Arabidopsis thaliana: one gene and its partners. The protein of the gene in region 1 interacts with the protein of each later gene in a pairwise test. Each region holds a gene or a part of one and is shown on either strand. Other genes may lie near its edges.

Region 1 (9,779 bases):
TATCTTTTTTTTTTCTGAACAAGTCTTTCCATTTTGTTTTAGAGGTTCAACTTTAAAATTACTGTTTAATATTTAATTCATAATTGATGATATATCAAGGAAATGCTTACAGTAATGGTGGGCAGGAAATATCCAATTCAAGTTTACTTTACTTATGCGCAATCATGGATAACTGAAAATTCAAACAAAGAAAAACTTCTATCATTTAGATTACTAATACTCCTATAGTCGTATATATTTTTGGGAGAAATTGTTGTAGGTCACTACGACGAGTCACAGTCTTCCAAAGTATTAGGTCATAAAAGAACAAGATTGCCACTATCGTCGAAAAGAGATACGATAAGGTTCTGAAGTGACTTCTTCAACACAACAATCGCTCCCCATTGATTTAGCAAATAATTATTTTTTCTGTTTGTAGTTTTGTACTCATTTTATTTTTTATTTGTCATTATTAATTACTCCTTCCACGAAAAATATAAATGTTTTTTTGTCCAAATTTTTTTATTAAACATGTTATTCCCCACTATTCAACGTAACCAAAATGAATGACAATTTTAACATTCGATAAAAAAAAAAACATTCCTAATTATAAGTGATTAGTAGAATAATACGCACCTTGATATTTTCAGCTTCATCACTCCGAGAACGTAACTTTGATGAGAAATAAACTTCAGGAGACCGATCTTGAACATTATTCTTCTTGCAAAAAGGCAACCAATGCTTAGAGAACTTAGCTGCCTCCATAAGAGCAAACAAAGTCAACGACGAACCTCCATCGTCCGATACGTAGACTGAGATCTTATCGGACGGATACTCGTAAGCCATCACCGATAAGGCAGTGTTGACCACCATCATCGGAGGCTCCTTGTACGGATCAGCCGTGCATATAAACACGTCCAGTTTCGGGAAGTCCTCCGGTTCAGCTGCATATTTCTCAGGGTACTCGGTCCGGCGAACCGGTTTATACCGGAGGGAAGTTGTGGTTGCCCACATGAAGGCGAGAACAATATCGGAGAGGAGAAGGAGAGACGTGATTAGAGTTGTGTTTGCTGTGAGAAGTGAGTGTACATGGTGATACATGAGGGCTATGATGCCACACGTGTGAAATACGGCGTAGATTCTATATGGAATGGTGCGCCGGCAAGGATGACACGTGTGGAGGGTTGTGTCGCCGACCGAGTGTTTTCTGTGAGGCTCCATCGTGGTACTCTTTATTTTTAATAGAAAGACAAATTGTTTTAGAGAAACTTGGTACATAGAACAAAACTCACCATTGATATTGATATTTTATAGGCGATTTTTTTTTCCAGAGTAGACATTCTACACCTCGATTTTAGGTTGGAAAAGTAAATCACTGAATAGTGCTATAAGTTTTTAAAATAAGTAATTACATCTATGCAATTTAAATACAATGTATACTTCCGTCACTAGAATATTACTTAAAATTTAATAAGTTCAAATTTAACATATTAAAATAATTTATAACAAGTTGTTTATCAAATATATAATAAAACAAAGTTATTTATTAGTAAAATGAGTTTACTATTATTCGGTATACACACATACATATAAATTCCTGATATAGATACTGACTGTATGTATAAGTTGGTATTTGGTGAGCTTTTAATGGTACAATTAAATTTAAACTTCTCTATATATGGAAAGAAAAAAAGAAAAAAAAGAAGAGGAAAAGATAGGGATTGTGAGATCCACTGCCTTCACAAATCTCGGCAATAAATAACCTACATCATCACTTCATTATCTCGGCAGTAAATAACGTCATTAACTATGAACGGTATCGACGTATTAGTAAAGAGATTCGTATAGGTGTATTTATGTGGTACGTATATAAATATTGGACCGTCAGAAAATATAGATATTTGGACCAAGCAACCAGATATGCACGATTTTTTTTCCCCAAATGATACACTAATTAAAATTAGATTGAACTTATATGTTGGATAATCATTATCTAATCTTTCGTATGTGGGATTTAGAATAATATCCTAACATTTTCTACACACTTGTCATAATCAAAGAAATACTATATGTACATATTATAAAGACAAACTTCACAATTTATAATCTCACCAGATCAGCATGTGTTATACTATGTTGACATATTGTAGTTGTTTTGCAGCGAGAATGGTTGTACACGACATATTGGACTAATCCAAGTAATATGCATAACCCAAATGATATCTAAAGAGAAAAATAACTCTTTTTTCCTTTGCAGCATTCGATATTTTAATGCATGTGAGTGAATAGTGATATAAGGGAATGATACACTTTACAAACATAAGGGGATCCAGAAGTAGTAGCGAAAAGGTGGTCCATACTTCATACAATTACGTTTGTGAATATGGTGGCAAGAGCGGCCACATACATGTCCTCACAGACAAAACATCAATAATCTTGAATCATTGTTAAGGTTAGTGGGAAAACCTGAAATAGTTTTAGGTCTAGAGTTTTGTTTATTTAACATTTTAAATATTGATAATATATGTACCTTTGGGGATTTGACAAATACAAGAAAGCCATGTTTGAAATTTTATATATACATTAAAACTTAGATGAAAAACAAAATCAAAGAAAACACAACTACGAAAAAGAATCAGAAAACACGAGAGCCATGAGGTATAATCCCTCTTTAATCTCTTATAATCCCAGAGTCCCAAAAGTCCTTCATCAAGTTATTCACAAATCTCATTCTCTTTTTTTTTTTTTTTTTTTTTTTTTCTTTCTGTTCGTTACATATTTGTTTCTCTTACACACAAGTTCCTAGAAGAAAAAGAAACTTCCAAAAGCCTATTTTAAAAGTAGAAAACCCTCTCCCCATAAACCCCCTTTCTCCATAAGAGGCTCCAAAAAAACGAGCCATTTTTTTTGCCTCAGGGGATGTAGTTTCTTGTTTAAGCCATGCGCAACAAAACACAGACACAAACAAGATAATTCCGAAAGACAAAGCAAATAAGAAGGAGACGAAGACTGATAGAGAATAGAATAAAAATTAGTTGGAATGATTATCTGTTTTGGAAGTTGTTGTTAGTGTTGTTTCAACTTCCCTTAACAGCATCCGGAGTTGGTTCCCAGGCGTCATTTTCTTCACTTCCTCTTTCGACCATATGAATATTCTCTTCACCATGTTGCAGAACTCACTGCACCACCAAATTAAGTCAACAGATATGAGTTTTGTGTAGTGATTCTATTGACTAAGAGATAAAGAGTAAGTTACTTACGGCCATGGGTCATCACCGACAAGCATCATATCTCCCTCATCGTCTGTGAACACTATTTCCCATTGATTGCGACTCCGCAGTTCCCCTTTTATGTCAAACAGCTTCTCAATGTCATCTATGAGCTCGTTGTACCCCTTTAGCGCATTTAAATCCACAGCCCTGCCCACAGGTACGCCTTGCATCTGCACCTGTTCAGCGATAAAGAATTCAGGATCCTGTTCAGTCCCGCAAACATTATACATAATGTGTATCTGTTTTGCAACTCACAGATTACACAATGTATATACACTTCACGGTAGCCATGTAGGCATATATATACCTTGGTACGGCTTCTTGTAGAACTGCTTTGCTTGCTTTGGACCTCTTTTGGTGATCCCTCCGCAGGTTCCTGCTTTTTCTCTTCTGATACTTTTGAAATCTCTGATTTTGGGTCTGAGTGGCTGTCCATAGTCGGTTTGGATATGTTGATTGGTCGCATGGGTGCAGTTTTCTCCTCAGGAACCGCTAGGGAGGAACTCATCAGATCAATTCCAAATAATCTATAATTAGCGGTTGTCTCAGGCTTCTTCTGCTCGACTGGGGAAACCATTTGGTCGTTCAGTGTTGAGTCTTTTGCTACATTTGACACAGAGTAAGAGTTATTTAGCCAGTCAGATTTCTTAGCATCCTCATTTGCATCACGATGACATTGCTGAGGAGAACTCCACTGTGAGGTGATGCACGATTGTGCAAACTCATGGGGTTGCGTCAAAACAGAGCTCCAAAGGTTTGAAGCTGTTATGCCTACATCTAAACACAGCATGTGAGATTTAGCAAGGAAACTTAAGCTATGTACTAGCAAATCAGTGGCGGTTAGATTGTGCCTCACCAAGTGCAGATACTTCACTAACTTGACGGGGCCTTTTGTTCTTCAGCATAACTGATTTGGGAACGTTTTCTGAATTTACAAACGGTTCAATTTCCCATGGTGAAACCTTATTGGGTCTTGAAATCGATGCAGGCTCATCCCAATGAACCTACACAAACATGTAGCAAACTGATTGAGTTTTCACACTTAATAAACACTTTAAAAAACATGTAAAAGTGGAAGGAATTTTACTTCTAAGCATCGCCATTTTGAGTCTTTCCAGTGAGGGGAGCAGTCTTTCACACCAATAACCGTGCCAGAATATCTTTGTAAAGAAATAGATGTGTGAGAATAGCTTTGGGGACAAAGTGCAGGATACATAACAAAGAAAAAATTCAGACTACCTTCTTTCAGGGGAATCCTCTCCCTCAAAACGCATCTTAAATCTCATCCCTACAGAGAACTTATTGCTCATGGCTTCTAGATATTTGTTCAAGCTAATGATGAATTGGCTTGTCCTGCTCAAACCGAGAGTAATTCGATAAGCAGAATGTCGAAAAAACTCACCTCAGATATTCCCATAGAGTAATAACTGTCTACCTTGGTTTATAGTATACAATGAACATAGTTTTCGTTTGAGTAGCATGGCGTGCAGTAGCAAGCACTCCCAGATGCATACTATGACTTGATATAACGGATGAAGGCATACTGCTCTGTTGAAGATTAGCACGTCTGACTCCAACTCGCAACTCTCCGTTCTCCCCTCTGGAAAATATAATATAGCTTGGAAGTTCAAAATCTACCAATGGACCATCAAAAGAAACAAAACAAGGTAGCAGCGTGAAGTATAATACCTCAGGAATACAAAGGTGTCCCCAGCAACCAATCTCTTTGATGTAACAAAGGTGCTCCACCCTGTCGTCAATAGATGCCTCCGTGGTTGGCCTGTTTAATGAATTATCATTCATTTTATACAATTATCATGGATACATAAAGTTTGATCTGAGTTAACAAGAAATGGATTCACCACCTCTAAAAATATGCTTGAATTTCCACTGATAACCGTGCACATCTTCGGCTACTAACTCCTGGGTCGGGGTTTGCTGAGTCATATCCTAAAGGATAAGAACATAAGAAATTCATATCAAAGGCCATTTTGGTGGGAAACAAAGCACAAATAGTAAGCGTGTCCTAATACCAGCGGAGGAAGACATTCCGTGGCATGTTTCCTTAGAACAGAAAAGCCACCATGGGTGCTTGTATCAGACGCTGTCAAAACCTTGCTGAAAGAGTGAACTTTCGGCCTTTGCAACTCAGGAGGAGAGGGATCAGGACTCATAGGTTCATCAACTTCCTACAGTTTACATTTAGAGATCCACTAAACATTGAATTTAAGGAAGTTGCAACAACAAAAACAATCAAGTGATCTAATTGTGTCACTCACAGTTCCAACAGGGATCAAAGTAATCTGAGCATAGACCTCATCCGTATCTTTCTCCGCCTGACAAGAACAGAAATGAAGAAATCAAACAAGATCCAGAACTTCCACTCATATTTAGTCTAATCATTTCCAGCTTCTTCATAGATTTTCTACAATATCCATCTATATATATTGCTTTAACTAATGGACGACACATCATCAGATAAATTCGGTTTTGCTAAATGTGGAAAGTATACCTGAAGACTAACGTTCATAACATTGCAGAGAATCTTAGGAGGAAGAACAAAAAGAGGCTTCATCGTATTTAAGTCGACTTGTTGCGTTGACGCTTCGAGCTGAACCACCAAAAATAGAAATGTTTCATTAAAAAAAATCTTTCTCAAAATTTCACCGATCTAAAAGAGAAGCTGCTTACTTGTTCCATGTGACCTTGAGGAAAATAATAAACTCTTTCTTGAGCTTGAGGAACATCAACAAGAGGTCCCGCGCATAATTTCCATAACTCATCGTACAGATATTCACCTGTTTCACCACACAATGTACACCGGTTAATTTCGCCGGTAATGTCGCCGGAAAATTGAAGAAAAAAACAAAACTCCGGTCAATTTCTCACCTCCGCGATTTGCCATCAGCTGATTAAATCTTCTATCAGTCACACCAAAACACACAGTCTCTCTATCTCTCTCCGATGAAGAACCGGAAGCTGAAACAGTCGAAAATAAAAGAAGGGTGCGTAATAAAGTGAGGAATTAAATTGAAGAAGAAGGTCCCTTGGATTCCGTCTCCACGTTTTCTTGTTCTCTAATGCATGTAAGTAACGATCGAGAGAGATCTGAATCGTAACGCAACGCAATCCTTCCTGCTCTGTAACTGTAACCTCTCTAATTTCTCTCCCGTAAAACCAGCTTCTATCGTCTTCGTCTCCCAAACAAAGAAGACTAAACTCTTTTTTTTTGTCTCTCTTCGTCACTATAATCGTCAAACAACGCCGTTACAAGAAAGAATCTCTCACTCGCTTCTCTCCCGTCTTTAAGTTAACACCTCCGTTTGCTTTTATCTCCGTTTCACTCTCTCTTTTTTCAATACTTTTATTTTTAATAAATTGATTTTATATGTATGTCTAAAATTGGACACCTTTTCGTATATAATAATACGCTATACATTAATTGTATAACCAATTGTAAATTCCTTACTATACTTTCTAAGACATGTTGTTATCCAGACAGTACCAAATTTCTAGGAAATAGCTTGATTTGAAGAAAGTAGAAAGTTATTTTGAAATTAAATGTATTGTTTATAAAAAAATATATGATAGAAATGCTTAGCACAACAATAATTGTTTTCCTCAATTTTTGTTTGATTAAATAAAAAAAGAGCTAGCAAAAAAAAAAGCGTAGCTTTGCTTCTCTATTTAAACCAAAAATCAGTTTTAATTTTACAAAAAAAAAAAAAACTTTAATTTCAAATTTATTTGGTTTATGTTTTAATACACTTTGATATTTTAGTCAAAAACAAATAAATAATGGGTCTATGATAAACACCTTTATACTGTATAATATAGAAAATAATTGGTTGTTTTACACTGTACTAATTGAAAGAGACTTTGTAAGTTATAATTATAAATAGCTTTTTACTTTTTTTCTATACGTACTAAACAATTAAATGCAATTGCGTTAGTGGATGAAGGAATTAGTATTAGTTACTGGATAAATCATAAATGTGTTGGCTTTTAAGGCTGGTACGGAGCGTGAGGGCGCGTGCCGTTGTCGTTACGGTAACAAAAGTCGATCAAGAGACATTAAACAGTAACACCCGTCATCGTTAAGAGTCCGTCACTTTTACCGTTTGCTCTTATGCAGGCAACAATACTGGCTAGACTTGGATTAGAGACGAAGCAGCTTTGACCTCCTTCTTTGGATAAATTACATTTCTACCACTAAATGGTGGGACTAACATAAGCATGTGGGAAGTGTTTCCATCTCTGATTTTTGTTCTTTTCACCTTTTGCAAGAACTTTTTTCCAACTCCACATTTTACTAATTAGAAACATCAAAATTTATTTGAGTCATGATATATGTTGATCGTTGCCAAACAAATATTATCCGGAAAAATTACTTAAATACTTAGAAAAAAATGTTTTGATTAAATGTTTTTTTTTTAGAATTTTGAACATTAATATACGTGAAATCTTTTGAACCGTTAAAAAATGATCGATGATGGATAAATAAGTAGATGTTATAAATAAGCGATTAATATCACTTATAACATCAAGATTAAGTTTCCTAAAAATCTTATGATACTCAAATTGAAGGAACTCAAAAAGTATGACAAGCGACAAACGAAAAACACTAAATAAATCTATTTTACTAATTTAACCAAGATATGTAATATAATAATTTTTGTTAGTATAGTTATGTTTACCATATAAATTCAAATCCTTATAATGTAGATATACATATATGTTGGGTTAGTTATTTATTTTAGTTTTTTTATATGATAAGATTATAACTCCCAAATATTTATTTCAATACAAAATTTAACATAATAATTTTATTTCCTAAACATTTGTACCATCACTAGTAGTGTAGTGCATGGATTTTCGTATAGTAAACTAAGTGCGATCTTTAGATGATCAATAAATTTAAATTTCTGCATCAAAATCGTATATTTGCTGTAGTCATTTGGCAATGAATAATGCCAAACTTTTTAATAAATAATAAGCAAAATATAAAGATGAAAAAGCCTATACTCCATAGTCCATATATTTATATACCAATTAACTAATTACTTTATCGTTTAGTTCTAATTAATTATGTTTAGTATATTACTAATTATGACAGAAAACGTCACGTATGACGTATTTTTGACAATTTCTGTTCCCTTTAAGGATATAAATAAGCAAGATGCCTTAAAACCCACCACCACCATCTCCGGATCTTCTCTTTCTCAATTTAGACTATTTTAATCGTATTTATTTTAGTAATAAATTGGTATCTTGTCCCCCGTATATTCCCCAGAGCTTGTTCAAACGAATCTCAACTGTAATATAGAATTTTCGTGTCCACTTAGAAAGCATTCATTCCCATATATATCTCCCACATGTTTGGTCTCAAATGAGTTCAATCATTTACTGATTTTTAGTCAATTTAGTGGTACTAATTCTAAGAATCTCAATTGTTCATCTATTTTTAACCCAATAGTCAATCGGCATACCACTTCTTCAAGCCCTTATCGAATTCACTCGCTCATGTAGTCATGTGTTTTGTAGAGATTTTTAAGTAATATCTTCTTTCTTGTTTGATTTAATTGGCTAATATTTTTTTGGGGGAAACTAAAGGTATAACTATTGCAAGAACATTGACTTGATGATTATGTATGTGTGTTTTTTTCTCTAAAAACATTGACATTGACTTGGTGATTCATGAGCAAGAAGGTAATTTCGTGATTAACAAGGTAATGAATCTTCTATTAAAATAGTAGGTTACTGATTCCCTGCTTCTTGATGGCGTATTCCCTGTTTTCACCTCTGTATAAAAACATACGTCACAGAAAGTTACTCATATTTGACAGCAAAAATCTAGAAGCAATGAATATGTTCATTTAAAAAAAAAAAATATGATATGTTCAGAAAAAAACTTTCATCTTAAATTTGCTTTAGTTTGTTAGGTCATGTGTTCGATATTCTTGATTCTTGAATTTACTATTTTACATATCGAGGATTAGTGATCAGTAAACAACATTTTTTAGGTCTATACTATCAAATCCTGGCTTTGATTTAAGCTAGGTATATATCACAAGCTATAATTAATATATATATATATATATATATACACATGTTTTATACACACAGAGAGGACAATATATATGTATATATATGATACAAGAGTTAATGGTAATGTTTTTGTGGAACGTGTGTTTCAAATAAATACGAGACGTTGCGAGTTTCTCCAAATGCGTTTCTGTTGCCAACATGTCCACGAGTTTTTTCGTGATTTATCTTCTTATATATCCAAAAATTTACTTCAAACCACATTATTTAGCAACGAGTTTTGTTATTATTATTATCATTCAAAAATCTCGGAAAATCTTTGTATAGTTCGAAATCTAAGAAATGGGTTATAAATGTCCTATAAGTGGCTACGGAAAAGGAATGATAAGTAGGCTTTTACGTACATCTACACATAAAACCCACAGAGGTCGATAGTGGGAAAGATAATTAGGGTTTAAACATTTATAACTTGGCTTTTAGAGT
Region 2 (8,163 bases), on another chromosome or scaffold:
TAGATCTCAAACTCCTTGATTCATTCGATTTTTATTCGAGAGATGTCTATGTTACTAATATGTTGTAGCCATTGTAGGTAAACTGTTAAAATCTCTCTGATCCATTTGCTGCTGTGTTTTGTTTCTTTTTACCAGAAGGGTTGTCTTAGATAACAGAACCAAGCAGCTTCCCCTGAAACTGCTTCTTCTTACAAGTTCTTGGATCTTTGCCATATAATTGCAAGAAGTTTTCAAGATTCAGACAAGATGCAGAAACCAGGGCAAAATATAGATTTTGCACTGAAGGAAACTTCACCAAAGATTGGTGCAGGTTCTGTGACAGGTGATAAACTCTGCAGCACTTATGATTTGGTTGAGCAGATGCATTACCTCTACGTACGGGTCGTTAAGGCGAAGGAGTTACCGGGGAAAGATGTGACCGGTAGTTGTGATCCATATGTGGAAGTGAAGCTCGGAAACTACAGAGGGATGACTAAGCATTTCGAGAAGAGGTCGAATCCGGAGTGGAAGCAAGTGTTTGCGTTTTCAAAGGAGAGGATCCAAGCATCAATCTTGGAGGTTGTCGTTAAAGACAAAGATGTGGTGTTAGATGATTTGATTGGTAGAATCATGTTTGATCTCAATGAGATTCCTAAACGGGTACCGCCTGATAGTCCATTGGCTCCTCAGTGGTATAGGTTGGAGGATCGACATGGGCGTAAGGTTAAAGGAGAGCTTATGTTAGCTGTTTGGATGGGGACACAAGCAGATGAAGCTTTTTCTGATGCTTGGCATTCAGATGCAGCCACGGTCGGACCTGAGGGTGTGACACATATCCGTTCAAAGGTTTATCTTTCGCCAAAGCTTTGGTATGTCAGGGTCAATGTAATTGAGGCTCAAGATTTGATACCTCATGATAAAACCAAGTTCCCTGAGGTTTACGTGAAAGCAATGCTCGGAAACCAGACTCTGAGAACACGTATTTCTCAGACCAAAACATTGAATCCGATGTGGAATGAAGATCTGATGTTTGTTGTTGCTGAGCCTTTTGAGGAAGCTTTGATTCTCGCGGTGGAAGATAGGGTTGCACCGAATAAAGATGAAACGTTAGGCCGGTGTGCAATCCCGTTGCAGAACGTCCAAAGAAGGTTAGACCATAGGCCGCTTAACTCGAGGTGGTTCAACCTGGAGAAACATATTATGGTGGAAGGAGAGCAAAAAGAGATCAAATTCGCAAGCAGAATTCATCTAAGAATCTTTCTTGAAGGTGGGTACCATGTTCTTGATGAATCAACTCACTACAGCAGCGACCTAAGGCCAACCGCAAAACAGCTATGGAAACCGAGTATCGGACTGCTTGAAGTAGGGATCATAAGTGCACACGGGCTGATGCCAATGAAGTCAAAAGACGGGAAGGGGACAACAGATGCATATTGCGTGGCTAAGTATGGGCAGAAATGGATTAGAACAAGAACAATCGTGGATAGTTTTACGCCTAAATGGAATGAGCAGTACACATGGGAAGTGTTTGACACCTGCACTGTCATAACTTTTGGAGCATTCGACAACGGACACATTCCAGGCGGAAGCGGAAAAGACTTGAGAATCGGGAAAGTGAGAATCCGGCTCTCTACCCTTGAAGCTGACCGTATCTACACTCATTCATATCCGCTACTCGTCTTTCATCCTTCTGGGATCAAGAAGACAGGTGAAATACAGTTAGCTGTGCGGTTCACTTGCCTATCTCTCATCAACATGCTTCATATGTATTCTCAGCCATTACTACCCAAAATGCATTACATCCATCCGTTATCGGTTCTCCAGCTGGACAGCCTGAGACACCAGGCGATGAACATTGTCTCGGCAAGGCTGAACCGCGCAGAGCCGCCTCTTCGCAAAGAGATTGTGGAGTACATGCTCGATGTTGACTCCCATATGTGGAGCATGAGGAGGAGTAAAGCTAACTTCTTCAGAATCATGAATGTTCTGAGTGGTCTCATTGCTGTTGGAAAATGGTTTGATCAGATCTGCAACTGGAGAAACCCAATAACCACAATTCTCATTCATGTTCTTTTCATTATCTTAGTTCTTTACCCGGAATTAATCCTCCCAACGGTTTTCTTGTACCTTTTCTTGATTGGGATCTGGAATTTCCGGTGGAGACCAAGGCACCCGCCACACATGGACACACGGTTGTCCCATGCAGACGCTGTTCACCCCGACGAGCTTGATGAAGAGTTTGATACTTTCCCGACTTCCCGATCCTCTGAGATTGTGCGGATGCGATATGACCGGCTCAGAAGCATAGGAGGACGGGTTCAGACCGTGATAGGCGATCTAGCAACACAGGGAGAGCGGTTTTTATCGCTGCTGAGCTGGAGAGACCCGAGGGCAACCACATTGTTTGTGCTTTTCTGTCTCATAGCTGCTATCGTGTTGTATGTTACGCCGTTTCAGGTTGTTGCACTTCTTGCTGGGATCTATGTGCTGAGGCATCCAAGGTTCAGGCACAAGCTACCCTCTGTGCCGCTCAATCTCTTCAGGAGGCTACCTGCAAGATCTGACAGTCTATTATAGATAAATTTATCTGCATCAGCTTTTGTAAAACGTTTGTTGGATTTAAAAAAACTTTGGGTTTAATGCTTAATTCGGTCTTTTCAATGGAATTTTAGTTATATTGATTGCAACATCATAAGACGGTCAAGAAATCCAAATACATATATCCATCAAACTCAAAATCTTTGGTTGGGTTTCTGTTTCTCATCTGTAATTCTGTTTCCAACTAACTTTTTTTGTCCAATGAATAACAGTTTCTGCCCAGACTATAAGGGTTCGATTTAATTCACAAACATATGAGCCAACCCTTGAGGTGCTCTCCCGCCAACGTTAACGTTGTGGAGCAGTTGCTGCAGCCATTGCATTGCAGGTGGGTCATCCTGCCAAATTAAGTGAGACGATTAGCTAAAAACAGTCAAGTCTCAAGTATCAAAAGAATTGAGTCGTGATAACAATAAACTGATAGATAACAATTTGGTATCAGAATCACTAATAATTGGTTATGATGCTATCAAGAGATATGACACTTACATAGAGACAACCACTGAAAGTAGCATCCCTCAGAAGATCTGGAAGGCAACTTCCAAGTGCATCGCATGCTCTGAATGTCATCAGTAACTGTATTGTGTAAGCACGAGTGTATAATATGGTTTTCAAATGAAGGAAAATGGATAATTATTGCACCTGGGGTTATCTGTCAAGCGAAGATAGCAGCGTATGATGTGCTTTAGTAGCCTAGCGGACGGTCCTTCTGCAAGTGAAGTAACCATATTTCCCAAAACCCGACCCAGAGCAAAGAATCTCTCCGCTGTCGTGCACATGTACTCAAGCCCAACATCGTCCAGCAAAACTTTCTGAACAATGAAAGTAGCAACCTGACATAACCGTTCAAATAAATCAATCAGATGAACTGTACATGACCAAAACCAATCAGAAACATCAATTGCAGAAGAAAACTTATACAAGTTCTTTGTATGAAGCAAAGATTTCAGATATTTGCAACTGGCTGTATAAATGATAGGAAACTTGATATACATTTTTCAAGCATGTGAATCTAAAGAGAAGCATCTGAAGATAGACAAACTTACAGTCTTTGATAACTCGCTGCCATTCTCCATTGTCCGGAGGCACAATGGGACAATCTCAGTTTGAAGAAGGAATCTGATCACTTCAGTATCATCAACCTACCAAACCAAATGAACGATGTTGCAAGACCAATATCACTAATGATGTCTTAACAGGATCTACTCAAAGGTCTTAGCATGCTAAAATCGTTGTTTCTCAAATCACCAAAATATTTATTTACAGCCAAACAGTTGTTAGCATGTAAAAGAAGTGTTCCTGCCTTTTTGGCATAAACATACTAAATAACTAGACGAGGAAACAAAACTCAAATATCAATACATACCTTAACAAGTGCACCAATAACCCCCAAGCTAGTCAGCCGCAGGTACTCAAACGGTCTTGATTTGCTTGATGTATTCAAGAAAGCATACAGGTACAATGGCAGATGGGCTGTATTTTGAAAAGCAACAGACTTTAAACTTTAAGCATATTATAGCCAAACACACATCTAATAAATGAGATCAATCAGAAAGAGACCAACAAGGTGGCTCTTAAAACTAGTTTTGGTAGACGGGTTGGGTATTCAACTAATGCAATCTATCTCTATAACTTTAGTCACAGAGCAAACACCGAAATTATTTGAATGAGAACTAAGGAAGAATTGTTCGGGCACAGGACTGTACCTTTTAGGAACAACATTCTCGTATCAGTATGAGAAGCAACACACTGGATGTACGAAAAAAGAGTCGAATCAATAAAAAATAGAGTCTTCCAAATTGAACATACATATATAAACGTTTGTAAGTCTCCCTAAAAAAGAAAGAGGAAACTGACAATATTTTATGCACCTGAAGAAGAGCAAGTGCATTGCACACCCTGTTAGATTGAGCAGGAGTCATGGTTGGAGGAGATAGGGCAGGGTAAACTGCGATAATCTCCTGAAAAGAGGAAAGAAAGAAAATGACTAGATCTTAACCAATACAATGTACATCAAATCTCAAAAGTTAAAATGCTAAAACTATAACAGTATATAGAGAAGCCAGAAATCAATAAATAAATTCCCCTGAAGAATAAAGGAACAAGTGCCATATAATAACATGGAGGAGAGGGTACCTGTAGAAGAGCAGGAATGGTACCAACAGAATGCCATAAAAGCGGAGCCAAATCTTGAAAGATCTCTCTCTTCTGAAATAATGAAACACGGGATTAGACATGAATTTCAGTGAGAAGAACTTCTTAATGTATGAAATCAAAAGCAATGAGTACAGTAAACATCAAAACCATTTGATTTTTTAATTGTCCAGACGTTTAACTTCAGTGAAGAATCCTCATACCAACTTAAATTGCTCACCAATCGAGATCAACGCCTTAATCAGTGTTGAACTATTTCGATTATTTAATTTCATCCCCTATTCATGCAGGTTTACAATCTCAACAATAATCGTACAAATTCCCTCAAAATTTGCGGCAAGGAAGAATTAGGAGTCGGTAATCTAAAAGCATGTCTACGATTCACCGGACTAAACAACCAAATACATTCGAAATTCCATTCAATAGAACGCAGAAAACGAAAACCCAAACGATCAAAAATTCGCGAGTAAGAGAATTCGGTGAGAGAGAGATGACCTTAGACAACTCGTGAAGTGCATTTTCTCTGAGTTCGGGATTGCTGAGATCGAGAATTAACTGCTCCGCCGATGATAGCTTCCGATCGTTGTTGGAGGAAGAAGAAGGAGAAGAAGCTCCTGAGAGGGCGACAGATTTCATGGAGAGCGGAGGAGGAAGATTAGCCATTAGAGCCCCGTCACCGTTTACACGCGCCGCAGAGAGAATCGCTACTTGTGACAGTGAAAGGAGGAGATGTATTTATAGGACCTAAGGGGGGCGTGTATGTCACGTGCCTCGCTTGCTCCGTTACGGGATTTGTTCAAATCTAAATCTCACGTGACTTGTGAAAAAAAAAAAAAAACTCTCACGTGACTCTCCCGTGCCTCACACAACTTAAGATTCTGAAAGATAGATTATAAGATTTACATGATTCACATTATGACTTAGCTAATGTAGAAGACAATAAAAAAACATAGGTATTTTGATATCAACAAGCCAAAAAAACACACACTATATCTACTTTGTTTGTGGCGCCAAAATAAACTGATTTAATATCTTTATTTATTGCGGTACAATAAATAGTTTAACCGTATATCCTTTTATTTTTGTTTAACATGAATTTGTCGTGTCACTCGGTGTAACATGCAAGGGGAATATGTGGCTCCAAAACTCAACAAGTAGTGGTCGATTGGCTACCGAAACTAATTAAGGTCAATGCAATAATTTTATTGACAAACAATCTAGCATCAACAAATCTATATACAGTCACAAAATTAGAACTAGATACACCATATTGTCCTTATAAAGAAAATATATCTTACCGTTTTAAAACTAAAATCAGACAAAATTCTAGTACAAAACCTTAGACAACCAATCTACCACTTCACATCCAAAAGATCGGTTTTCCCAAGTTTCTTCTAGAAACAAATGTCACAGAATAATTAATTGTGATTTGATACCAACTTAAAACACTCTAAACCCAAAATTTATATATACAATTGATGTCACGAATGCTTCCGACTTCATCTTGAGAACTAACTCATCACAAAAATTGAATTGGAAGTTGTTACGCTTTGGCATCTTTCCAAAGCATCCACAAAATCTTGGCTGAAGTAATTGAAATACTCTATAGTAAATAACGAAGTTAATCATTTTCAACCTGAAATAGAAATTTAACATTCGGATAAACAAAACTCAAAACTAGAATGTGAAAAGCATTACAAACTAATATGTCAACAATGGGAAACAGAAGATACAGAAAAAAGATATAAGGAATGAATCTATGGAGTAAAAGGAATGTGTTTATGATGAAGAGGGTCGGATCCAGTTGGAACTTGTCTTTCTTCAACTTCATTAGCTGTTCCTCCATCAATCTTCTTCTCCTGTTTTCAGTACCAAAACAAAAAATTAATCATCTTTGCATCAAAATCATATAGAAAAATACAAACGAATATCAAATGCAAAGAGCTAGCTAGAAAACAAAAAGTTTCATACTTTTTATTGTAAAAATAAGAAACGAATTGTTCATTTCCTTCAAAACAGTCGCGTTGTGTTTCTAGGAAGAGATTTTCTTACCTTTTTCATGGCTTTCGTATCTTGTGTTTCTCCTAACCAAAAGAAGGCTAGAAACAAAAAGAACAAAGAGGATTGATTCATCATGTTTTGAACCCAAACGATGAATAAAGATGAGAATATTATTAAACATATCACATGACACTTACATTTTGTAGAAGAAGAGTGAGCAAGTAGTGAGGACGAAAGAAGAAGGATGACTAATATGATAAAAACGCTTCCTTTGTATTTCATCGCCGCCATTTCAAAAACCTCTTTGTGGTAAGAGTCTCGACAAGAGTGACGAGAGGTGTGTCGTCGTCTAATAAGGTGAAAGTTCCGGGTTTTAACCTCGTTTTACAGCTTTGTTGGGGCCAAATCCGTCATTTTGGTTGTTCTTTTTGGGATGAGATTTAAGCTGTACGGACACAGATTACCGTTTACAGGCTGGCTCGAACCAAGACAAATTATCATTCTCGTACAAATGTCGTGGTGCCACGTATCGCCGCCACGTCTCCGCTTATTTGTCGAACCAAACATTGTCACAACTTCCCGCCATTTTTTAAGTTGTCTTTCAACGAAGCAGAGGAAACTAGGGCTAATCCTTCTTAGAAGATCGTGGGCTTTCCTTATCGGCCCATTAATGAACCCAGTTGGTAACTAGGGAATTTTTGAAAGCTTTGTTGTCGCTGTATCTTATAGGCCAAGCAAAAGTTGTTAGTAAGTTCCTTATCTTCCTCGACATGGACCAATGGAGGTCTTCAACTAAATAATTAAACAGTCATTAAATGATAGATAACGTCTAATTTATAGATGAATACTACAATGTTTTTACCTAAGCGATATATTGAAAACTAAATTACATTAACCCTAATCATCCATGAAGATAAAAAAGGGATAAATTAAGATCCCTTCCCTGTCATTACAATGAAGAGATGAATCATTCCTTGTTTCGAGAAGAGCGATCCTTACGATGACCTCCAAGGATACGAGAGATCTGAAGACCTCTACTGAAAGCTTGATTAAAGAGCATACGCGTTTGGAACTCTGACACAAATGGAAACCATGCCAAGAACGCCACTGGCGTGAACAGCAACAGTCCCATTACTATCTCGTATCCACGAGCTAGGGTCCTCACTGATCCCCAGAATCCTGCTCTATGAACCACCGGCTTACACGCTTGCGCAATCTGCAAACACACACCAAGTGTTAGTCTTGTTTTTATCCACACACGCACAACATTTCCATTTTAATAGGACTCCAGTGAAAAGCTTTTTTTTTTACTTACCAAGAGCATCCCCCAACCTGTGGGCATAAAGGCAAGGATACACACAATTATGTCTTGTATCGTCATGTGAGCCAGTGTGATCAATATCACAATAATTGCGATAAACGTCATGAATA
Region 3 (6,777 bases), on another chromosome or scaffold:
TAAAATGGTAGTGTTTACTTGGCAGGATGCTGGTATAGGAACAAGCATTGATTCCTTCTATGAGTATCTACTCAAGGTTAGTAAACGTAGCCCTTGACAAGATATTTGAATTATTTGGATATAATGGCCAAGTCCTAGAAATCCAGAAAAAAATAGTTTCTGTTCTTCTTCAACTTTGCATAAAACTTGAGCGGCATTGATATAGTCCTAGACTCCTCGCTTTACTTTTGTTTGATTTGACAATTTCAGGCTTATATACTATTTGGGGATGAGGAATATCTATACATTTTTCAAGAAGCTTATAGATCTGCAATGCAGTACCTTCACAAGGATCCTTGGTAAGCTTTCTGTATCTTGTATGATAGAGAAACAAGAACAAACAATTCCTTTGTTTGGACTTACTGTTTTTTCTAGTTTTGTCGTAGGTATGTAGAAGTCAATATGGATTCCGCAGCTATTGTCTGGCCAGTATTTAACAGCCTTCAAGCTTTCTGGCCAGGACTTCAGGTAAATAGTGATTCTACGTTTGACCAAATTGTTAATATATTTCAGGCTGGAAAATTTAACTATGATTTTGTATCTATGTTTCTCTCTCAAAAGGTTTTAGCTGGAGACGTTGATCCAGCAATAAGAACTCACACTGCCTTCTTTAGCGTCTGGAAACGATATGGTTTCACCCCTGAGGGTTTTAATCTTGCTACACTTAGTGTCCAGGTACTCTATCTTAATTTTAAGTGTCTCTGTGATCACTTGTCACTTATTACGTCTGATGGCACTATGATGTTACAGCTTCATATCTATTCTTCATTTTCCTTACAGTATGGGCAAAAGAGTTATCCCTTAAGGCCGGAATTAATCGAGAGTACATACTGGTTGTACAAAGCTACCAGAGATCCCAGGTCACCAAATTAATTAGTTATATTTTTTTCAATTCTTCATCCAAAGATGATCACACTACTGAATTGCACAATGCAAATTACTCGTCGACAGGTATCTTGATGCAGGACGTGACTTTGTGGCTAGTTTGCAATACGGGGCAAAATGTCCTTGCGGTTATTGTCACATCACAGATGTAGAACTGCATAAACAAGAAGATCACATGGAGAGCTTCTTCCTCGCAGAAACGGTAAAATACATGAAAAGCTCTGTTTCTCAATATGCATTTACTTGCTTACCTTAAAGCCTTGACTTGTTTTTGTTTCAAAAATATTTCAGGTGAAGTACTTATGGCTACTCTTTGACTTAGCTGTTGACTCGGATAACCTCGTAGACAATGGCCCTTACAAGTATAAATATCTCCTCCACATTAACCTCTTGATTTTCACAAACACCACAACAATTCACTAATCTTGATAATTTTACTTAATCTTCAGGTACATCTTCAGTACTGAGGGTCATCTCTTACCAATAACACCACAAATATCTCTAGCTCGGGAACATTGCTCTTACTTTGGTGGATACTGTCCAAGCAATTCCACAAAACTAGAACAAGAAGTCCTTGGAGAAGACAGTAGTAACGATGATCACAGTAACGATTATCCTTACCACGAATCTTTTCCAGTTACCGGTTTGATAAAGGTCAGTACCAGAAATAAAAATGTTTCTTTCTTTCTTTCGGATTCCTTACCACGAATCTTTTCCAGTTACCGGTTTGATAAAGGTCAGTACCAGAAATAAAAATGTTTCTTTCTTTCTTTCGGATTCCTTACCACGAATCTTTTCCAGTTACCGGTTTGATAAAGGCCAGTACCAGAAATAAAAATATTTCTTTCTTTCATCAAAGTCAGTTTCTTTTGTTTTGGGGTTTTTGTAGGGTTTATGTCCAGGACTAACACATGCTCAGAAATATGGTTTTTCGTATGTTCTACCGGAGAAGACAGATCGTGAAGATGTTAATCAACCTAAACCGGTAGTTACAAGCAGTTCAATTGTGTTAATCTCGGATCAAACAGTGGAGAAGAGACCACAGGAAGAAGAAGGATTTACTTCTCAGTCTGAACCAATAATGACAATCTCTGGTGGTAGTAGCAACGACCAAACAGGTCAAGAGCTAACCTTGTTAGAGTCAGAAACTGATGATCAAAGATCATACTCTTCTTAAATCTCTCATTTATATATATGTTCCACAGAAGAAGATTACAAAAACTTTTGTTAGAAATATAGATTCAGTTTTCCAATCTCATCAAGAATCTTGAATCCTTCTTTTGTTGATCGATTGTTGTCTCATCATAATCATCATCATCATCATCGAGACAACTAGGTTTAAGTATTTGGTAAAATTCTTGACTTAATAATCATCTTGCATCAAGAACATTAGGTATGAATGTAAAAATTGTTGGTGCACAAAGGAAAAACCTAAATTCAATGAACCTATCTATACCATTTTAAAATATTACTCTAGTTCCAAGGTTCATAGATTATTATAAGTGATAGTGGAGACAAATTAGCACAGTTGGGTAGATTTACTTGTTTAAGGTATGGGGGACCAAAGTCACAGTTGGTAACAACAAAAGATAATATAAACATTTCCAAAGCCCCAAAAATATTCTCACTGCTCGATTAGATTTCTTATTTCTTTAATCTTGGTGACTAAACATGTATAATCTAAGTTTAAAGAAACTAGAATCCAATGATATATGTTTAGAAGCTGGGATTATTATTTTTACCATAAAGCAGCTTTGGTTTAATGATTTGTCTTCGTTGTGTTCATCTACAAGTTAGGTTTAATGTTCTGTGTTACAGTTTTGTAAAGACAGATCTTAATTTGAAGAGAAACAGAACAGAAAAATGGGTAATTACATCAAAAACATCAAAGTTGTTCGATAAGAACATTATAAAAAGTGAAAAACACAAAGATAATCTTCAGATTAGATCTTTCTAATACCACAAAACCTTTCTCTTTAATGGAGACAGAGTTACAGCTAAAGTTTAGATTTAGATCTTTCTCACACTTTTATGCTTAAGACCATTTTAAGCATCTCTCTTTTTACCGATGAGGTAAACATTCACAAAGTATGATTGTATGAAACATCTCTCCCCAAGAACCCGAGCAGTTTCAGAGCTATATTTACTCTGTTTCAAGAAACAGAACAAAAAACTCTGTTTTTGAATCTTTCTCTTTGATCTTTATCTCTCAATTAGGTTTGTTAAAGACCACCACAACCTAAACCTTTAACTTCAGATCCTTTCATGATCCTTAGCCTCTTACAAGACGAAACAAACATCCTGCAATAACAACAAAACACCATAAATACATAAACAAGATTGTGTCATAAGTTAACTAATTTGAGAGATAAATGAAAATTTGTACTTACTCCCAAGGAACATCACCAACAAGCATCCAATCACCATCTTTGTCTTCATAAGTAGGTACAAAGTCTGAGCCTTTATATCCTTCTCTCTCAAAATATTCTCCCACAGAGAATTTAAACATGTTTTCAAGTGATTTCATCAACTCTGGATATTGTTTATACATCGTTAGATCTATCTTCCTTAGATATGGAGCACCATCCATACTTACTTTCACATAGTTTCCTTGACCTTCAGATTCACTCTTCTTTGTCTGAACATTGTTCTTTCTGTAAGATCTAACTGGTGGCCATCCAACAATCTGAGCCCTATAAAACAAGAAATAGCATAGATTAGATTAGATCAGATTCACAACTCAACACACATTTTCAGAGAAGTTGTATTTGATTCAAACACTTACTTTGGAGGAGAAGCGGTTTCAGTTTTTCCAGTGGATTCAATCTCTTTCTCAGTAGCTTCAGGTAAAACTCTTTTGTTGCTTTTTCCACAAGAAACAGTTTCTTCTGTCCCTGGTAATCCCAATCTCAGCTCTGTTGCCTTTAGGTTAACAAGCTCATCATAAACATCAACTTTTTCCATTTCTTCTTCAAAGAAAGAACCTCTTTGTTTTTGTGTGTTTTGTGTTCTTGTGGTTGTCTAGAGAGAGAGAAAGACTTGTTGATGAGATAAGAGGCTTTGTGAAGAAGATTGTTTTATAGGAATTGAAAAGTCACTTTTTTGGTAATTTAGAAAAAATGGGATTAACTTGATTTAAGGACAAAGGCAAAAGCTAAAGCTGTCGGGTAGTAAACAGTAGCAGCAACTTTGAGGCAAAGTGTGTCCCATCATTTTGGGGACATTTGTGGGACACTTTCATCTTCAACACAAAGAAAGATACTTTCTTTGATTTTAGAGGACGGTCTAGATTCATTTCTCTGTAGCCCTAATTCAAGGAAGTGGGGTAGAGTATGGTACACTCATGTGCAGAATATAAAAAACCTTTCTCTTTTGTTCAAGCATTGAGTTATTGTAGGGTAAGCATTACATGTACTGTGGTCTGCCATATGCATTTGTCACCTCTCTCTCTCTCTCTTAAAGCCAAGAACTTACTCTTTCATCTATTTGTGGTTCATGTGATATCAGGATTAGATCATCCTAGTCAATTGAGTTGAAACTCTAGCTGTCTAAAGTCAAACATATTCATAGTCTTTTTTTCTGTGTTTGGAGGATAAGATTTTGAGTTTCATTGGGTCTGATTGGTAGCTTCATGTGTGTCCAACTAGTATTTGAGTTGGGACTTTCGAGAGTATTAGTAAAGAAAAACAAATAGTATTTGAGTTAAAATTATACTATTTGTTTTTCTTTACTAGTTTTCATGAAAGTCCCAACTTAATTTGTCTCTCTGTCTCTATGAAACTTCTAATGATCTTTATATATATGAATCCAGGAACAAACTGACAAGAAATCTTGCCAAAAGGTTTTGTCTTTAGACAGTTCATTATCTATGGGGTCTTATCGTTTTGGGTTTTGATTTCTCTCTGACTTTGTTTTCATGTTACTACAGCAAGGCAGTTTATGTACTTGTCATGCTTTAGTGAACCAATGTAAACCAAACCTAACCTAATCTCTTTGGAGGACCAAATTTGAAAACCTATGTTCAAGACTATTTTTTTATCCTAAGTTTGTTTAGTCTCGATTTCAAATTTTTTTTTTCTGTAGAAAAAGTTTTGAATCGTTACACATTAAGGGGTATTATTCAGTCATGGATTTCAATAGAATCAAATCCAACACTAATCCACTGTGATTGATGATTCTAAATGGTGCTTAAATATTTGTGATTAATTTATCATTAGTATTATGTTATTTTTGGCACATGACCTCCTAATAGTCTAAATCCTTCTTCTTGAGTATGATTTATGGATTACGACATTTGGGAAGTGAACATTTAGGAGATTGTTGGTTTTATCCGAATTGGTCTCAAAAAGGAGAATTTTAAAGGTAGTGAGTTTGGTATTTATTGTTACACGGTAGACGACAAGACTTTGGGTTCGATTTGAAATGTGAAAAGTTGGTTTCATTGCATGGTTGGCGTTAGAGATTTAAGTTCATGACTAGCTTATTTAGCTAGAAATCAAATACTGAAAATGAGACGTATCTAACAACAAACCGGTTCATGGCATTCTCTCCGGTTCCGGTTCTTTTGGACTCTATGTTGGATTGATCCACCGTTGGATCCAATAAATGATATAAAACAGCTACACACATGATCATACATATACAGCTTCATAAGTTATAGTTGGTGGGCAATATATATGCTTTTATATCATCCTAGTGATTATTCTAATGGTGGCTGGTTTGATGAAAAATTAGGCATCACCTCTTCCATGTTGAATTTGTTCTTAACTATCTTTTTTGAATTTTTTTACATAATGTTCAATATTTTTTGTATGGACTATGCAACAAAGTTTTATTATTAGTGAAAACATATCTTATTCAAAAAAGAAAACGGAAAATTAACATAGACATAAACAAGGAGTAATTCTGTTGTTAGGAATACATTTCATATGACATCCATCCATGCAGTCATCATCCAGTAATTTCACTACCTGCGGCGAACCTTCATGATGCAACTGAGGAATTTCTTCAAGTAATAACCTTTTCGCCTCAACATTTCGAACAGTAACGATACTCATCACTACAAAATCAGAAACTATAAATAACAAATTTTGTATATAGATTTTTGTTATTTGCTTCACACGTGAAATATAAATTTTACCTGATGTAACAATTAGGCAGATAAGGAAAGCAAACTTCATTGGTATTTTTTTACTTTACAATATATAGCGGAAGTTGTTACACAAAACTCGGGGTACTCCCCAATACGTAGAAGTACAACTATTTCTAGATACAATAGTTATATAAAGGGATCTACTGTAAATTACTAATTATTTTGTTTTTGTTACCAGCCAAATAAATACTTATCAAATTACAAGGAAAAAGTCCAGTTATTGACTAAGTAAAATTATATGAATTTATTACAAAATTTTGTAAATATACATGAGACTAGTATAACTGATATTCTACAAAAAGTCGGTAACAAACTAACAATATAAGACCAATTCTAGAGTGCAAACTAGAAAACAAACAGTTTAAGAGTTACAAGAGATAGATCATATAGTTTTGAAATATGGAAGCAAATAACAATCATCAATCCATATTCTATATTGTAGTTTTTATTTGAATTGTGGCAAGACTTTGGGTTCGATTTGAAATGAAAAACTTTGGTTTCATTGCATAATGTTTAACCTGTATATATATAATAGGAGAGTCCTCTCTCCATTTAGGGTGTCCATCTAAGCATCCATATAAGCAACACTATTTATTTTATGTTAAAATAAATTTAAACATTCATTTAGTGCATATTTTTGTTACTTATAATCATAAAAAAATGAATAAACAAAAAACGAATTATGTAAAATAAATGAGCTG

The links. Proteins that work in one complex are often made in the same cells at the same time.
Region 2: the proteins of ARF9 (region 1) and AT5G12980 interact in a two-hybrid assay, tested with the Arabidopsis thaliana proteins (one large-scale study listed by BioGRID).
Region 3: the proteins of ARF9 (region 1) and ATAUX2-11 interact in a two-hybrid assay, tested with the Arabidopsis thaliana proteins (one large-scale study listed by BioGRID).

What each region holds. Positions count from the first base shown.
Region 1 is NC_003075.7:12,447,969-12,457,747, reverse strand, and holds ARF9 (auxin response factor 9), read right to left. Parts: upstream 6,606-9,779; 5' UTR 6,157-6,605; coding exon 6,141-6,156; intron 6,050-6,140; coding exon 5,943-6,049; intron 5,863-5,942; coding exon 5,764-5,862; intron 5,588-5,763; coding exon 5,531-5,587; intron 5,441-5,530; coding exon 5,285-5,440; intron 5,202-5,284; coding exon 5,117-5,201; intron 5,032-5,116; coding exon 4,941-5,031; intron 4,852-4,940; coding exon 4,687-4,851; intron 4,605-4,686; coding exon 4,491-4,604; intron 4,412-4,490; coding exon 4,339-4,411; intron 4,256-4,338; coding exon 4,108-4,255; intron 4,029-4,107; coding exon 3,559-4,028; intron 3,428-3,558; coding exon 3,240-3,427; intron 3,159-3,239; coding exon 3,011-3,158; 3' UTR 2,379-3,010; downstream 1-2,378. Other genes in the region: CSLG3 (cellulose synthase like G3), read right to left, coding at 616-1,257.
Region 2 is NC_003076.8:4,102,746-4,110,908, forward strand, and holds AT5G12980 (Cell differentiation, Rcd1-like protein), read right to left. Parts: upstream 5,488-8,163; 5' UTR 5,395-5,487; coding exon 5,227-5,394; intron 4,786-5,226; coding exon 4,714-4,785; intron 4,539-4,713; coding exon 4,449-4,538; intron 4,327-4,448; coding exon 4,284-4,326; intron 4,051-4,283; coding exon 3,944-4,050; intron 3,720-3,943; coding exon 3,624-3,719; intron 3,411-3,623; coding exon 3,220-3,410; intron 3,137-3,219; coding exon 3,067-3,136; intron 2,916-3,066; coding exon 2,817-2,915; 3' UTR 2,638-2,816; downstream 1-2,637. Other genes in the region: AT5G12970 (Calcium-dependent lipid-binding (CaLB domain) plant phosphoribosyltransferase family protein), read left to right, coding at 247-2,556; CLE40 (CLAVATA3/ESR-RELATED 40), read right to left, coding at 6,489-6,590, 6,784-6,830, 6,930-7,023; GSL12 (glucan synthase-like 12), read right to left, coding at 7,700-7,948, 8,048-8,163.
Region 3 is NC_003076.8:17,547,576-17,554,352, reverse strand, and holds ATAUX2-11 (AUX/IAA transcriptional regulator family protein), read right to left. Parts: upstream 4,175-6,777; 5' UTR 3,889-4,174; coding exon 3,710-3,888; intron 3,618-3,709; coding exon 3,315-3,617; intron 3,226-3,314; coding exon 3,147-3,225; 3' UTR 2,638-3,146; downstream 1-2,637. Other genes in the region: AT5G43710 (Glycosyl hydrolase family 47 protein), read left to right, coding at 26-76, 250-338, 426-507, 601-714, 820-899, 991-1,126, 1,216-1,286, 1,374-1,578 and 1 more; AT5G43695 (uncharacterized protein), read right to left, coding at 5,802-5,983, 6,065-6,104. UniProt on the Arabidopsis thaliana protein: Aux/IAA proteins are short-lived transcriptional factors that function as repressors of early auxin response genes at low auxin concentrations.